Linked DNA regions of Ovis aries. The protein of the gene in region 3 interacts with the protein of the main gene of each other region in a pairwise test. Links are inferred from orthologs where the notes say so. Each region holds a gene or a part of one and is shown on either strand. Other genes may lie near its edges.

The links.
Region 1: the proteins of TMEM79 (region 3) and SLN interact in binary tests that used the Homo sapiens proteins (3 or more experiments, as listed by UniProt). The two-hybrid records come from large-scale screens. The link is inferred for Ovis aries from reciprocal best matches to the Homo sapiens genes TMEM79 and SLN.
Region 2: the proteins of TMEM79 (region 3) and SFTPC interact in binary tests that used the Homo sapiens proteins (3 or more experiments, as listed by UniProt). The two-hybrid records come from large-scale screens. The link is inferred for Ovis aries from reciprocal best matches to the Homo sapiens genes TMEM79 and SFTPC.

What each region holds. Positions count from the first base shown.
Region 1 is NC_056068.1:16,907,098-16,912,187, reverse strand, and holds the start of SLN (sarcolipin), read left to right. Parts: upstream 1-1,943; 5' UTR 1,944-2,036; intron 2,037-5,090. UniProt on the Homo sapiens protein: Reversibly inhibits the activity of ATP2A1/SERCA1 and ATP2A2/SERCA2 in sarcoplasmic reticulum by decreasing the apparent affinity of the ATPase for Ca(2+). Also inhibits the activity of ATP2A3/SERCA3.
Region 2 is NC_056055.1:43,446,352-43,451,460, forward strand, and holds SFTPC (pulmonary surfactant-associated protein C), read right to left. Parts: upstream 3,148-5,109; 5' UTR 3,136-3,147; coding exon 3,094-3,135; intron 2,364-3,093; coding exon 2,205-2,363; intron 1,621-2,204; coding exon 1,498-1,620; intron 1,256-1,497; coding exon 1,145-1,255; intron 800-1,144; coding exon 662-799; 3' UTR 652-661; intron 458-651; 3' UTR 256-457; downstream 1-255. UniProt on the Homo sapiens protein: Pulmonary surfactant associated proteins promote alveolar stability by lowering the surface tension at the air-liquid interface in the peripheral air spaces.
Region 3 is NC_056054.1:106,287,443-106,292,688, reverse strand, and holds the start of TMEM79 (transmembrane protein 79), read right to left. Parts: upstream 3,225-5,246; 5' UTR 3,107-3,224; intron 2,312-3,106; 5' UTR 2,269-2,311; coding exon 1,509-2,268; intron 1,252-1,508; coding exon 1,038-1,251; intron 1-1,037.

The DNA of each region.
Region 1 (5,090 bases), on a different chromosome or scaffold from region 3:
AGTAATTTAATTCTGCAAGAATTATAAAAGATAAAGGCTTTTCAAGAATCAGATTCCTTTACTGAAAATATCTTGCAAATTTGAGATTATGTCTATGTAACCTCAAACATGACTAAAAAGTAATATACCTTTTTCCTTTTAGGTGCTTATATTAAATTTTCTTTATACTTTTATATTTTCAATATATTACAATAAATACATAACTTTTTAACTGGACGAAAATTAATTTTGAGTGGTTAATAAAGGAGTGGGTGTGACTTAGTGAGTAGGGAAACATTCATAATATTTGAAACAATCTGGCAAAGGCTTGGAAGCAAAAGACAGAAATCTGATTACATTCAAGAAGTTTGCCAGTGTTTGACTGAACTATAATTTCTATATCCTCCCTATCACTTCAGTAAGCCCTGTCTTTTTACAAGGCATGTGACAACAGAATGTTGTATTAAGGTTCCCCAATATTGAGTTTATATAAAAAATGAAGAAATGGAGTGGAAAGTTTTTGTTTTAGTAATATTTCTAGTTCATCAGGAATAATGGGGAAAAGTTTGAAGAAGGAAATGACAACCCACTCCAGTATTCTTGCCTGGAGAGTCCCATGGACAGAGGAGCCTGGTGAGCCACAGTCCACAGAGTTGCACAGAATTGGACATGACTGAAGAGACGGAGCGTGCATGCACACACAGGGAATTTTGTTTACGTCTTCTGCGAATACATTATTTTGATTGACTCTACCTGGGAATTCAGAGGGGAAGTTTGTTCTGTCATCTGTAAAGAAAGAATTTGATGAAAAAACACAATTGCTGGGGTCATGTTTAATGGATGTATTTTCAAGTTCAGTTAAATACTTTGTGCTCATTCGCTTAGTCATGTCCAACTCTTTGTGACCTCATGGACTGTAGCCTTCCAGTCTCCTCTGTCCATGGGATTTCCCAGGCAAGAAGACTTGAGTGCGTTGCCATTTTCTTCTCCAGGGATCTTCCTGACCCAGGGATGGAACCCATGTCTGTCGCACTGGTGGGCAGAATCTTTACCACTGAGCCAGCAGGGAAACCCTGTTAAACCCTTCAGAGGTTCCATTTACCACCAGACACCTAGAATGTTTATTACAAACTCATTTTAGTAGTCAAATTTTAGTAAATGTTTATGTTTGAATGTTACACAATTTTATTTCTTTCAGATATACTATATCTCACACTTTCCACTAGTTTTTACCAGTTCTCCTGCTACCCCCAATCTATCCAAATGACTGAGTTTTGCTGTATGGGTTTACTGCTGTATTAGTATATTGACAGAGATATATAAACCATGGCTTCTACAGCTGTTTCAGATGAAACTGTATATTGATGTGTAAACTTGCAACATACAGCTTAGCCAGAAAGTTATGTGGAACAGGTGACTGGGGAGATAGCTTTCACCACTTGGACTAAAATCAGTTTTGAAGGAGCTAAAAGATGCCTATCGAATTCTGGTGCATGTGTGTGGTTTGAGGAGTGCATGTGCACGGCAGAGAATTCTTTATACTTCAGAAACGTTGAAAACATGGGTGGTTAAATGAAGTTACACTTTTACACCCTCATATGCTAAGTGGAAGAGGCAGCCAAATGCTGTAAAAATTTGTTAATATTAGTCTATCACTCTTGGTTTACAGTGTTTTGAACACATGTTAGAGATACTTGTGAAGATGTAAAAGATGAATTTAAAACCTACATCAATTGTACCAAAAGTCAACTGGAAAGAAAAGGATTTTAAGTCCTTGAGCTTTTATTAATAATACAAATTCGCAGCCAAAGGAATAGCCTTAGTCAACACATTTTCATGTCCCCCTAAACACAAATAGCCTCCAACCTTTGGAGGTTGTTCCTTCGAGATGTTTCACCAGTGACATCACAGTGATTGCCACCTCCCTTGGACTACTTTAGGCCCTGCCCAGAGCCCAGAAGTCCAGACAGCCTGGGAGACAAGCAGGAGTTGGAGCCCAAGTAGGAGAGAGAGAGGAGAAGCCTACTGCAGCCCAGTGTGTCCTTGACCCTATTCAGGTAACAGCAGGATTTTTAAGCTTAGCATACAGTGTGTATGTGTGTACAAGTTGCAAATAAGAAAAGCACAGGAATATTTACATTTCTTAATGAAATAGACAATGCCTGTTGTACACAGTGTTTCTTAGACTAGAAAGAGAATATTATTGATTCTTGTTTTCCTTTTTTTCACCTTATGGCATGTGTTGTCTCCCTTCCTATTAAAAAATACCATACAGGAAAATATGTCTTCCATCTTTTCAAAGTCTCCATTCAAAGAAAGTTAATATCAAACAGTTTATTCAGAGTTCTTCTGTTTTTTTTCACTTTGAATCATATACTGTGATCTTGATGTCAGGAAAGATTTAAAATGAGGCCAAAATTGTCTTTGTGGGTTAACAGCAGAATAATGGAAGATTGCTGATCTGGGGTTTTACCTAACTGTGGTATAAATGTGTGTGAAATTAGAGCCCACTCCCTATAGTTAGCTTATATGTTGATTGAATTGGATTCACTAGAAATTCCCACCTTAATGCTGTGTTTTATTACTTTAAAAACATACAAAACAACAGCATTTAAGCTTACCATCAAAGGGCAAGATATAGTAAGAGGTAAACCATAGGTAATAAAGAAGTGTGATGAGTAGCTGTCAATTCAGAGACCACTGAAAAAAAATGTGAAGAGTCCATAAAACATACCCTTTGAACAATTATTGTAAGGCAACATCTGTATTAATATCACTCAGGTCAAGAAATTGTCATTGGCGCACTCCAGAATTCCATTCTTGATCACTTTTCCCTTTTGCCTTATCATCGGTAATCATCATCTTAATTGTTGAGCTAGTCTTATCCATGGTTTTCTTTATAATTTTACCATTTCTGTCTGCGTTCCTAAACAATATAGTTAAATTTCCTGTTTTGGGGTTTGAAGAAATAGAATTACATTCTGTGTTTCTTTTTGTAAATTCCTCTTTTGCTTCATAGTTATTTTTGTGAAATCCACCCATCTATTATGTGGTGCTGAGGTTCATATATTTTATTTGCTCTATAGCATTTGAAAGTATGAACATACCACAGTTCACATTCATTCTATTGCTGATGAACATTTGAGTTGTTTCCAGCTTAGGACATTATGAAAACGTTGCTATGAACATTCTTATATATATAAATCCTGGTATATATGTGCTTGAGTTTCTAAAGTAAGAGTGAAAGAGCCAGATAAAAGAGAATGAACATTATCAACCTCAATTTAAAAATGTCAAATTGTTTTCCCAAAGGTCAAAAATTTACACCAGCCAGGGCAGTTATTTGTGGTTATCATTCATGTTATCACTCCTACAGAGTAACCACAATCCAACAACTATTTCCAGCCTGCCAGTTCTAGTTCTGCCTCTAACTTGCTATGTGTCATCACACAAACAACTTAACCTCTCTCTAAAAGTCAGCTTCTTAGCAATAATCTTGGGAGAGAGAAAAATCACAAAACTTGCCTGAGTTGTAAAAGTCCGAATTGTTGGGAAGGTCACATGAACAAAGCTCTGGACAACTTTCAGCAACATTTTCTGAATGTGTTCCTGTCGTGTCACAGTCTCATAAGATTTGATGGGATAGTTATTTTGCCCTTCCTGGGTAAAATAATGGGTTGTTTTGATCATTGTAAATAAGGCCTCAAATTTTTTACATATCTTTGTACTTCTTTGGACTTACTCAAATAAATTAGTGTTTGGACCAGGATTTAACTTCATTAATAAATCCATAAGGAAGAATCTGCTTTAGAGTCTTTAGATTCTTTTGTTCTTAGGCTCCTTGCCTGAATTAATCAACTTCCTGTCCTCCTCTGCTCTGATGTACATGCTTATACATTCTCTCTATTTCCTTAATACTTCATTTTCTTCTGTTTACTTTCTCCTTCGAGCAAATCTTTGTAAAGGTTTTCATTGGAAATGGTGTAGAAGGCAAAAATATAAGTAAGAATTAAAAGGAAAGTGAATGATGAATCAGTTACCATTGGTCATATTTTAAACCAACATTCAACAACATACCTGTTAATATAATCTTATTGGAACTTATGTGTTATACCAACAATAACATAAGACATTAAAAAGGATCGTTTGACTGGTTTATGCAATTAATAATTTGGTACACTAACAATAAAAGAAATATAGTAATTATAATTCATAATTCAGGGGAGACTTCTTCCCCCTGAACTTCCACTTTAGAAAATAAAACACTTTTTCCCCTTAAACTTTTTCTACTCCATAGTAGACTTTTGCTCTAAATAGTTAAAATTTTATTTCTAATCTTTACTTTCATTTGGTTTGCATATACACAGTGTCAATTATGCCACATCACTGGAAGTAATAATTTAATGTTTCTCAAAGCATGATTTTCCACAAGTATCATCTATACAGACTATAAAGATACCACCCCCACTTTTTGAAGTGTTTACAATATAAGCACATCCTGGACTTGACTAAAAATAGCTGGCACAAGCCCTTGTTGAAATAGAAGTACCCATGGGGTTAACACTTGCTGTTTGGACTGAATGCCTGTTATGTGAGGGACTTTTTGTTGACCCCAGTAGGCTCTATGCCCAAAGCAGGGATTTCAAGAGGCCAAGCAGCTGTTGAAACTACTTAATGCTTTCACAGGGTTAGACAAAGATAGATCAGCTTGGAACTTGAAAAATTATGGTATCCTACCTCTGTATGTAATTTGAAGCAAGAAAAAAATCTAAGCCATAACATTTTTTTTTTTTCTGTTTTGGTGACCTTACTTGCTGGTAGCAAAGCAAGCAAGTATGCACACACATATGCACAGAAGTTGGAGAAAGAAAAATGCAATATTTTGTGTTTTATCAAGTGAAAGTCACTCAGTCATATCCAACTTTTTGTGACCCCATGGACTATATGGGATTCTCCAGGCCAGAATATTGGAGTAGGTAGCCTTCCCCTTCTCCAGGGCATGTTCCCAACCCAGGGATTGAAACTAGGTCTCCCACATTGCAGGCAGATTGTTTACCAGCTGAGTCACAAGGGAAGCCCAAGAATACTGGAGTGGGTAGCCCATCTCTTCT
Region 2 (5,109 bases), on a different chromosome or scaffold from region 3:
CTCGGGTTCTCGGACCCTCGCTCTCGCCCATCTCGGTCCCTGTCCCTCTAGTTCGGTCCTTCGGTCTTTCGCCGTCTCCGTCTCGCTCCCTCCCTCGGGAGACGCCACTGGAGGGCGCCTGGAGCCCGCGGATTGCTCCCCAGTCTCCTTACCCTGGGATGGGGGAGAACGCGAAAGCCGGCTTGGCGCCCCCAAGGCTCTAGCCTTCCCCTGGTCGGCCCCCACCAAGAGCCGGGCTGTGAGAGGACAGACGCATTTTGCAATCAGGATGCTTTAATCTTTGGTGGTAGGAGCCCCCTTGGGCCCTAGGAACTGCTTCTCCTCTGCCCACCTCTCCCCACAGCTCCCATTTCTCCAGGGCCAGTCCCAGTGGTGTCGACAGTATCCACTTCCTGCCAATCTGCACAAGACCCTTTGCTCCTGGATCTCCACTGTCCCTTTGGGGCTTCCTGAGGCCCTGGGAAGCGAAGAAACACTGTTTATTATGTGAGGGAGGACTGGAGGGGGTGTTTGTGAACCTTCCCTCCCTGGAGCTCTGTAGGTGACCCCATCTTGTTGGGTCCCCCAGTGCCTGGTCAGCTGACGTGAAGAGGTGGCCCAAACCGTCAGGACTGCGTCTGTTCCTGTGCCCTGGAGGTCACACCTGCTCACCTGACCAGTCCTAAGTGTAGTACAGGGGCACCTCGCCACACAGGGTGCTCACGGTCCTGCCCAGGAAGGCCAGGTCCCCAGAGAATGCTGAGCCAGCGTCACGGCCCTGCTCCTGGCCCAGCTTCGAGGAAGGCACTGGGGGCTTGGCCTGGAAAGAGCATCTGGTTTAGAGCCTGGGAACTCAGTTTCTGTCTCACCTATGGTCCTTATCATGGGACCTCAGGTGTACCAGGCAGTCTCTGTGTAAAGAAGGTGTTGTGCTGGAGTCAGAGCCCCCAGGGGGTGTGTGGGCTCAGCTAAGCCAGCAGCTTGGCTGCGGGGCAGGGATGGGGAACTTGGCTAGGAAAGGTTGGGTGCAGGGGGATCCAGGGAGAACATTCGCCTGGCAGTCCACGAGGAGCAGCATTTTACAGGTGACAAAATCATCATCTAAAATGCTCCTGCCAGCAGCCCTGGGAAAAACCAACCCACTCCCTCTTACCCATACACCCACCTGGAAGTTCGGCAATTTTCTAGTGAGAGCCTCGAGACTTGGGATGCTCTGCGGAGCCACCTTCATAATGTAGCAGCAGGTTCCGGGGGCTGGCTTGTAGGCAATCAGGAGCTGGGCATGGGAACATATGAGGGTCAGTTCGGAAGCCGCTGCCTAGCTCACTCCTAACTCTGGTCCTAGGCCATCCCCCTCTAGGCTGGGCACTGGAAGGAGTCGTACTGGAATCTGGCGCTTAGCAAAAGCGCTGGGCGTGGGGAGAGATGAACCTGTAGGAAGGCCAAAGCAGAAGAGGTCTAGCACAGAATTATCACTGGTTCCTTAGCCTTGGGGTCAAGAGGTCCACGCATACCCACCCGCTGGTAGTCATACACCACAGTGCCAGTGGAGCCGATGGAGAAAGTGGCAGTGGTTCCCACACGCTCACTCAGGGCCAGGCGTTGCTGTGCTTCCGGGCCTGCGATGCTCATCTCTAGAACCTAGAGGAGGGCATCGTGCTGCCTGGCATTCCTCTTTCCCCACTCATCCCTGCACCTCATGCCCACCCTCAGTTCCCTTTGTGCTGTGCTGCGCTCAGTCACTTCAGTCATGCCCAACTCTTTGAGACCCTGTGGACTGTAACCCTCCAGGCTCCTCTGTCTATGGGATTCTCCAGGCAAGGTTACTGGAGTGGGTTGCCATGCCCTCCTCCAGGGGATCTTCCCCGACCGGTAAGAGATGAAGCCCTCATCTCTTATGTCTCCTGCATTGGCAGGCGGGTTCTCTACCACTAGCACCGCCTGGGAGGCCCCAGTCCTCTTTACTCAAATGCAATTCTTTCTTCCCTGGGAGCTCAGAGAGGCCCAGGGGAACCAGGCACTGGAGGGAACAGATTGTCCAACTGTGGGGTGGGGGCTGGTGAAAAAGCCCAGGCAGAGTTTGCCACCCTGTTTCCACCTCTGTCCTTCCCTGAGGCGTCACTTGCCTCCTCCCCTCATTCCCCGTGGGCAATTTGCTCTCTATCCCAGGGCCTCTATCTGACCTGCCCTGTATCCACTGCCCACCCCATCCCAAGCCTACTCACCATCTCTGTATGTTTCTGGCTCATGTGAAGACCCATGAGCAGGGCTCCTACGATCACCACGACGACAAGGACCACAACCACAACCACGATGAGAAGGCGTTTGATGTTCACGGGACAGCAGGGGATGCGGAGCCGGCCCCCGGGGACTGCTGAGTAGTCCTGACATGTGGGGCAGGCGAGGAGACAGGTATGAGGTCATGAAGATGCCACTTCTCCCTGCACAACCGGGACACCCTCCCAGTCTCTCCCGGGACTGAACAAAGAATGCCATGGATGTGCAGAAGAGGGCTGAGCCGGTTAGACGCTTCCTGGAGGAGGGGGCCTGGATTCCAACAAACTCATAGATGCTTAGAAGTGAGGTCTAGCTTGAACAGATCCAAGAGAGCCTGTTTCAACCAGTCTCACTTGCTGCTGTTTCCTCCACACCTCTGACATCCCAGCCACACCCATCCCCTCCAGTTCCCCTCCAAATCCATGCTTTTAGGTGTATGATCCCTTCTTCCAGCAATGCCTTCCTCCTTCTCCACCTGCTGAGCTCTGACTTGTTCCTCTGGAGCCAGCTCAAATGTTAGTTTCTCTGCAAAGCTTCCTGTGACCTCCCGCGTAGTGGCTCCTTTCCCAGTGCTCTCTACAGTCTTTTCCACAGACCCCTTTAATGGCTCACAGCCCCTTGTATGAGAATTAGTGGCTGCTGAGTCTGCTACTCCAAGAGTCTCTGTCTTAGTGATTGGTGTCCCTGTCTTAATTTAGCACAGTCCTAGGTTAGTTGAGTGAATGAATTTGGGTAGGAAACAGGCCCGGAGAAGTTGGAGGAGGCAGAGCCCATCATACACAGATACACTGTTGCACACATACACACACACATACATGTACATACGATCAGACTCACCGGCGGGCTCTCCATCAAGACCTCTTTGCTGCCCACATCCATCTTGCTGTAGACACCTTCCCTCCTCATCTCTGAGTATGACTAGGGTCTTATATGTGCCAGCATGGACACAGGACAGAGGTAAAAGACCCAGCCCCTGTCTGCCAACCAAGCCCTCAGCTTTGAAGCCTGTTTGTTCCTGGCCCTTCAGAGCCAAGGGCCAGATAAGCCAGCTGCAAGAGCGCCTCAGGGCCCTTGGCCCTGGCGCGTGAGTCCTCTTGGCCCCAGGGAAAGCAAAGCTGGGTAAGCTGAGCAACCTTGCCCTTGAGAAATCTGCACCTCTCACCGTGGGTGTCTTCCTGGCATGCCTACCATTCTTGCTGGCACCTGCCCCTGCCATCTTATGGCTTTTCTTGTTCTTCTGCCAGGCTGAACCTCTTTGGCAACCAAAGGCCAGACCCAATGGGTCCACCACACTTCCCAACAGATTTGCTCCCAGAATTGCCTCCAAATTGCCCCTGGAGCCTAAGCTCCAGGAAGGGGAAATCTTGTGGACCCACAGGGATAGTACCAAAGGCACGAGGTGCTTTGGCATCAGTGCAGAGTTTCATAAATGGTTCATAAATTTCCTGGGAGTGTCAGATTTTCAATTCAAGTGTACCTTCTTTGCCTATTCACACATGTCTTGTACCTAACCTCAGACATGCCCCTGGTCATTCTTTCCCAAATTCTGAAAACTGTCCCTTCTAGTTATAAATTCTTACTAACATGCAGTTTTTCTTTCTTTGTATGGGCTTGTTTGTAAGCTGAAGGCTTTTTCTTTTTAACCTGGTTTTACCATTTTTGCATTTATTTTTAAGTTGTATTTATTTATTTGTTTATTTTTGCTGTCCTGGGTCTTCACTGCTGCTTGTAGGCTTTCTCTAGCTGCAGCCAGCAGGGGCTACTCTCTAGTTGCCGTGCACAGGCTTCTTCTGTAGTGACTTCTGTTGCGGAGCACAGCCTCTAGAGTGAGTTCTCAGGAATTGTGGCACACCAGCTCAGTTGTCCCAGGGCAGGTGGGATCTTCCCGGACCAGGGATTGAATCTGTGTCCCCTGCATTGGCAGGCGGATTCTTAACCCCTGGACCACCAGGGAAGTCCCTGAAATTATTTTATGCTGAATTTATTTTCCAGACCATACATTTTTGCTTCTTCAGTTTCTTCTGGGACAGCTTTCTCTTCCGCGCAAGTTTCTGTGCACGTTTAGGAATAACTGGCTCTTTTCCCAGTCAGGATCATCTCTGTGTGCCGGGGGGAGTCCTGCAGGGGTTAATCCGACTGTGAGCTCTGCGAAGTCCTGTGCAGCATCTTGGGGGCTTGTTGACCAGAGAATCCACGTCGAAACCCTTCAGTTCAGCATTACTGTCTGCATTTTTAAGCACGTGCAGCAAAACTCAAGCATTCTTTTTGGGTCACCAAATCTATGTTTAGCCCCTCTGTTTGGCTTGGGCACATCAACCAGCTCCACAATTGGAACAAGGGCACAGCACACATTGCTTCTGTAAAGTGACATCCTTCAAACACTTGGTGGCCTTAGGGATATACATACCCTTGATAGCCTGTGCCATTTCATGAATATTCCTAAAGTGAACACGAATGTTTGAACTTCTGGGTTTACATGTTTCTGTGGGTTTTCTGCATCAAAGAAGGAGCAAACCATTTTCAGAGATCAAGCTGGAGGGTTTTTTTTGTTTTTTGTTTTTTTTTGGCTGCACTGGGCACTTGCGACCTTTTATCATTATTGTGGCAGCAGGCTCTATCTCCTTGATCAAGGATTGGACCTGGGCCCCCTGTACTGGGAGTGTGGAGTCTTAGCCAGTGGACCACCAGGGAAGTCCCAAGCTGGAGGCTTTTGATAGCAGTTCCTCACCTGACAGTTATGCCCAGACAGCCTTGCACAGGGCTGGTGGTGGTGTCTGATGGGGGTCCCCATCTCTTTGTCCTTGAATCAGCCCACTTGCTTAGTGCTGCCTTGCACCCTACCCTCTCAACACT
Region 3 (5,246 bases):
TAGTTTACATGAAAATAACCCTGCTGCTGCTGCTGCTAAGTCGCTTCAGTCGTGTCCGACTCTGTGCGACCCCATAGATGGCAGCCCACCTAAGGATCTTCAAATTCTAAATGAAAGGAGAGTAATGAGGCTGCTATGAGACCTGCTGCTGCTAAGTCGCTTCAGTCGTGTCCGACTGTGCGACCCCATAGATGGCAGCCCACCAGGCTCCCCCATCCCTGGGATTCTCCAGGCAAGAACACTGGAGTGGGCTGCCATTTCCTTCTCCAATGCATGAGAGTGAAGAATGAAAGTGAAGACGCTCAGTCGTATCCGACTCTTAGTGACCCCATGGACTGCAGCCTACCAGGCTCTTCCATCCATGGGACCTTCCAGGCAGGAGTACTGGAGTGGGTTGCCATGTGCCCTCAGTTTCGATGAACAGGACAATCCCTTGACCAGTTCCCACCCCCTTCCCATTTGACAAGCAGAATTTCCTGCCTAGATGGAAAGACACAGGCTAGTGAAGGGACCAGGACCATTTAGCAAAGTAAGCACTGGGAGAGCAGACTGTTGGGAGTCAGAATTGAGAGGTATTGTCAAAGATCTGAATTGACTAGAGAATTCCAGAGGTTAGAGTCAGGGCAGAAGTTTTTAGCACAATATAAAAGAGAACTTTATAAAAACTAGGACTTTTGATAAGTAAGACTGCCTTATAAAGAACAAAGCATTTGGTCACGGGGATGTTCAACCAATGTTCAGCCAGTGGCCGCCTGACCAGAGTGTCACCGAGGAGTGGTTGCAATGGGTGGGAAGCTGGTCTAGGTGACACCCGAATGCCCTTCCCTTCCCGTTCTAGGTTGATATATGTGTCTTACGAAAGACACAGGAGCTGCCAAGTGAGGTAAAGTGCAAGGCGGAAAGTGGACTCAACTTTCCAGGGTGCACATTTGGGCTGATTCAGAGTCCAGAATCTCCCTGGCTCTCCAGACATTCAGATGCCCAGGTCCCTTAAGCACCACTACCTCCCCTGTGCCCCACCCCCAGCCCCAGCTCACCGGGAGATGGCAAAGAGACCAGTGAGTAGAGGGAGCAGTTTGAGGGTATCTTGAGGCAGGTAGGTGGAAAGCACGGCCAGGTTGAAGAAGTAGAGGATGAAGAGCTGGACCGACTGGGCCACATATCGCCGGTGGATCTCCACCTCCCGCCGCGGCTCCCCAAAGGGCCGAAGGGCAGAAAAGCACAGCAGGCTCAGCCCGTACACCAGGATCCCTGGATGGGGTTGGACAACACACAGGATCAGGTGAGGAAGCAGGTGGCAGAGTTTGTAGCACGGGCATAGGGCTCTGCACCCTGGATGGGGCTGAGGTGGTCCTGAGTGGAGGTGGGCACACAGGGTGACAGGGTGTGGGAGGCCCTGAGGGTCCAGGTCTAGTGATGGAAACTTTCCTGCTCTCCAAGTCAGGCAGGCCCTGCCCTCCAGCCCAACTCCCAGACGCCCCCTCCCTACCCGCAGGGCCCAGGCTTACCCAGTACAATGGGGAAGGTAGCAAAGACCCCACAGCGCAAGGTGTAGATAAGGCGGGAACTCATGGTCGGCAGGCGTGGGGCATCGAAGGGCAGGAAGGCGTATGCCCCGTAGAGCAGGCAGGGGAAGAGGATGAGGGCAGCTGTCACCGAGGCCACGGCCCTCAGCACCTCTCGGCCTCCACAGCCCCCACAGCCCCCACAGGAGTGGCCAGGCGGCTTCACCACTGCTTCGGCCCACTTGCACTCCGGGGGCTCAGGGTGGGTGGCCCGGGGGGGCAGGAAGGTCCGGCGGTGCTCACCCTCGCTGGCCTCACAGCACACAACGAGGTCCTCCTGGGGCCGCCGCTCAATGCACTGTAGGTCGATGGGCACGAAGGCCCGGGCTGCCTTCTCGGGCAGCAGGCTGGCTTCATCTTCAGGCAACTCCTCTAGTTTGGTGGGTGGCTCTGACTCGGGGGGCTCAGGCTCAATGTTCCTCCAGCCCGGGGGATCTGGGAACGGGGCACTGGGCTGGGGGCCAGTTCCCCAAGGCAAAGTGGCAGCCTCACTTACTGTGCTGTCTAGACCATCCTCGGTCCCCTCTCTGGCTGTGGGAGACTCAGCTGCAGACCCCACTCTAGAGGACTCAGCTCCAAGGGACTCAACCCCGTCTTCCCCTTCCAGCTTCCGGCCATTGGGGACCAAGGCCTGGGGTGGGCTCTTCTCCAGGGTCTCAGGCCCCTTCACTTCCAGCAGGGCCAGGGTCTCGGGTTCTGTCATCCTGGGACCTGACTTCTGAAGTCTACCACAAAGTCATGTCACCCTGGAGGGAGCAGAGTGAAGTTCTGTCAGAAGCTGCCATCCTCTGGCCCTCAGGAGGGGTTGATTGAACTGCAACTCTCCAGGGCAGCTGGCCTCACAGGCTTTAGCCCCTTCTGGGATCTTAGAGAGAACCTGATCTGGAGGAAGGTGTTCAAACAGTGGGAGGCAGGAGAGAAGTGAACAGCTGAAATGGAGGCACCCTTTCGACATCAAATGCTTTTCAGCAGGAGAGGGTGAGTCAGGGGGCGCAGGCGCTGGCAGGTATGGCCTCAGTCAGCCTCCACCCACACCTTCTACCCCCTCCACCAAAACCCCTGGGGTCATGGCCACCCTAACGCAGGAACGGGAGGAAAGGGAGATATTTAGAATTTTGCAAAGGGCTTTCTTCCCATGAAGGATCTTGTGAACAGAGAAGCTGCCCCTTCTCCTCCACATCTCCCCTTCCCCTGCAGATCCCCGACTGGAACTTTCCTGGCAGCTGACACCCATGATTTGCCAACAGATCTGTCCCAAGGAGCTGGCAGTGGCAGGGCACCCTGGCCTTTTGTCTCCAATCTGGATACTCGGTCAGTTTCCAAACTTCTCAGTAACCCACCCCCTATGTCTCTGGAGGGCCCAGGTGGATCCACTCTGACCTCTAAGTCTAATGAAGGTTGTTTCCCATGCCTCCTCTCTGGTCTTTGTCCCCTCCCTGCTGCCTTCCATCTCACTGCTTCTGGATGGGGCTGATTTCCCTCTCTCTACCTCCCCAAGGATCTCCTCCCCCCTACTGTGTGGGCCCATGACACCCTCTTACTTTCCATCTGGAGAGAGGTAGAGGGTCCCCAGCGTCCGGGAAGGAGCTGCCCAGCTCTTCTGCTGGCTCTGCAAGTATTCCTTTCCGTCTCCCTCCCTTTACCTGTGTCTCCAAACCTGTCTGACCAGAGCAGGTGGGGCCCAGTTTAAAGGCGAAGGCCCCGCCCTGCTGAATCGGCCGACAGAAAAAGCATTAAAGGAGGAGTCATACTTTCTGAGCCTAGAGGTGTGTGTCCTGGGAACATGGGATATGTAGGAACTCCCAGCACAGGAAAGCAAAGGGGACAGAGTGGGTTTCTTCATCAAAGGGCTCTTGAAATAGATTGGGATACCCCAAAAGAAGTAGAATTACTACCCTTATTCATTCAGTATTTACTGGGCACCTATTATTATTAGTTAGGCACTATTCTAGGGACAGACACAGGAAAGAACAAGATGACAGGCAAAGTCTCTGTGCTTAAAAAGCTGGCTCTGTTGGGGTAACAGATAAATAAGAAGCCCAGCAATTAAACCAACATGACAATATCAATAGGGAGAAACCTCTTTGCCAAAGTGATATTTGAGCTGTGACCTGATGGGAAATCTGGAGAATAAGTGTTCCAGACAGAGGAACAGCAAGTGAAAGGCCAATTAGTGGGAAAGACAGGTTGTTTCAGGACAGAAAGGTCAGTCGATGTCTAGAAGGTGAATTTATGTTCCCACTACAGGGTGTACATGGGTCCACTGAACACTTTGCTTTTTAGGTTAAGTAAGTAAATAAGCAAGTGAAGTCTCTCAGTCATGTCTGACTCTTTGTGACCCCATAGACCGTAGCCTACCAGGCTTCTCCATCCATGGGATTCTCCAGGCAAGAATATTGGAGTGGGTTACCATTTCCTTCTCCAGGGGATCTTCCCGACCCAGGGATTGAACCCGGGTCTCCTGCATTGGAGGCAGATGCTTTAACCTCTGAGCCACCAGGGAAGATACTGCGCTTTTTAGGTTAGGTTTAATATTAAGAACGGAGAAGGCAATGGCAACCCACTCCAGTACTCTTGCCGGGAAAATCCCATGGACGGAGGAGCCTGGTAGGCTACAGTCCATGGGGTCGCGAAGAGTCGGATACGACTGAGCGATTTCACTTTCACTTTTCACTTTCATGCATTGGAGAAGGAAATGGCAACCCACTCCAGTGTTCTTGCCTGGAGAATCCCAGGGACGCGGAGCCTGGTGGGCTGCCATATGGGGTCGCATAGGGTCAGACGCGACTGAAGCGACTTAGCAGCAGCAGCAGCAGCAGCAAGGTTAAGAAAGCAATAGGAATCCAACGTGATCTTTCCCATGGAAAGACCAGGTGGGCAGAAACATAAGGCTGTTGCTTCTCATTCCTGTGGATCTTTTCCCCTAAAGTCATTTGAGCTTTATGAGGGGAGGGGCAGTGTCTGAGTTGCTCATGCCTGCGTCTCCAGAACCCAGAATTGTGGCTGGAAGATGGCAGGTGTTCAATAAATGTTTGCTGGGCTGGTTGGAGATTAACAGCAAATGGAAATCTTTGAGTTGGGGTAGGGGAACTGAAGGGCCCAGGTACAGAAGTTCTGTATTGGATGGCCTTTCTCTTATGTCATGCTTGACTGTCCAAGAAATTTTTCACATACACGTTTTTTGTTTAATAGGGAAAAGGGGAGCATTTGAATCATTCTATCCAGCAATCTGAAAGAGGCTCGGCTCAAACGGATGGGCCAAATGACCACTGTCGGACAAAGCAAAGTCATGCTCCTAGCTGTGAGCCCATCTGCCCAGATCCAGCTTAGCCTCAGCACGCTCGCCGCAGAGGCCACTGCTTGTTGTCTGGCAGCTGTGTCAATAAAGTTTCTCGCAAGGGCTCACCGAAGCCGGAAAGAGGCGAGGCTGCCCAGAGTTAGTTCTGGCAACTTCCCGGGAGGGAAAAAGAGTTTCGCGAGATTTGGTAGCGGCAGGCCACTGGCCCGCCACCTGCAGCTGCTATCGCGAGATTTGGCAGGCGGAGGAGGAGCTGTCGCGGTCAGCCGCCTCACAGCGATGGCGGCCGAGCAGGGCCGGCGGCGGTGGCGGCTGCGGCTACGGCCGGAGACAGCAGTGGTGGCAGTAGCGGTGGGTGGCCGGGGCCTGTGACCGGGAGCCGC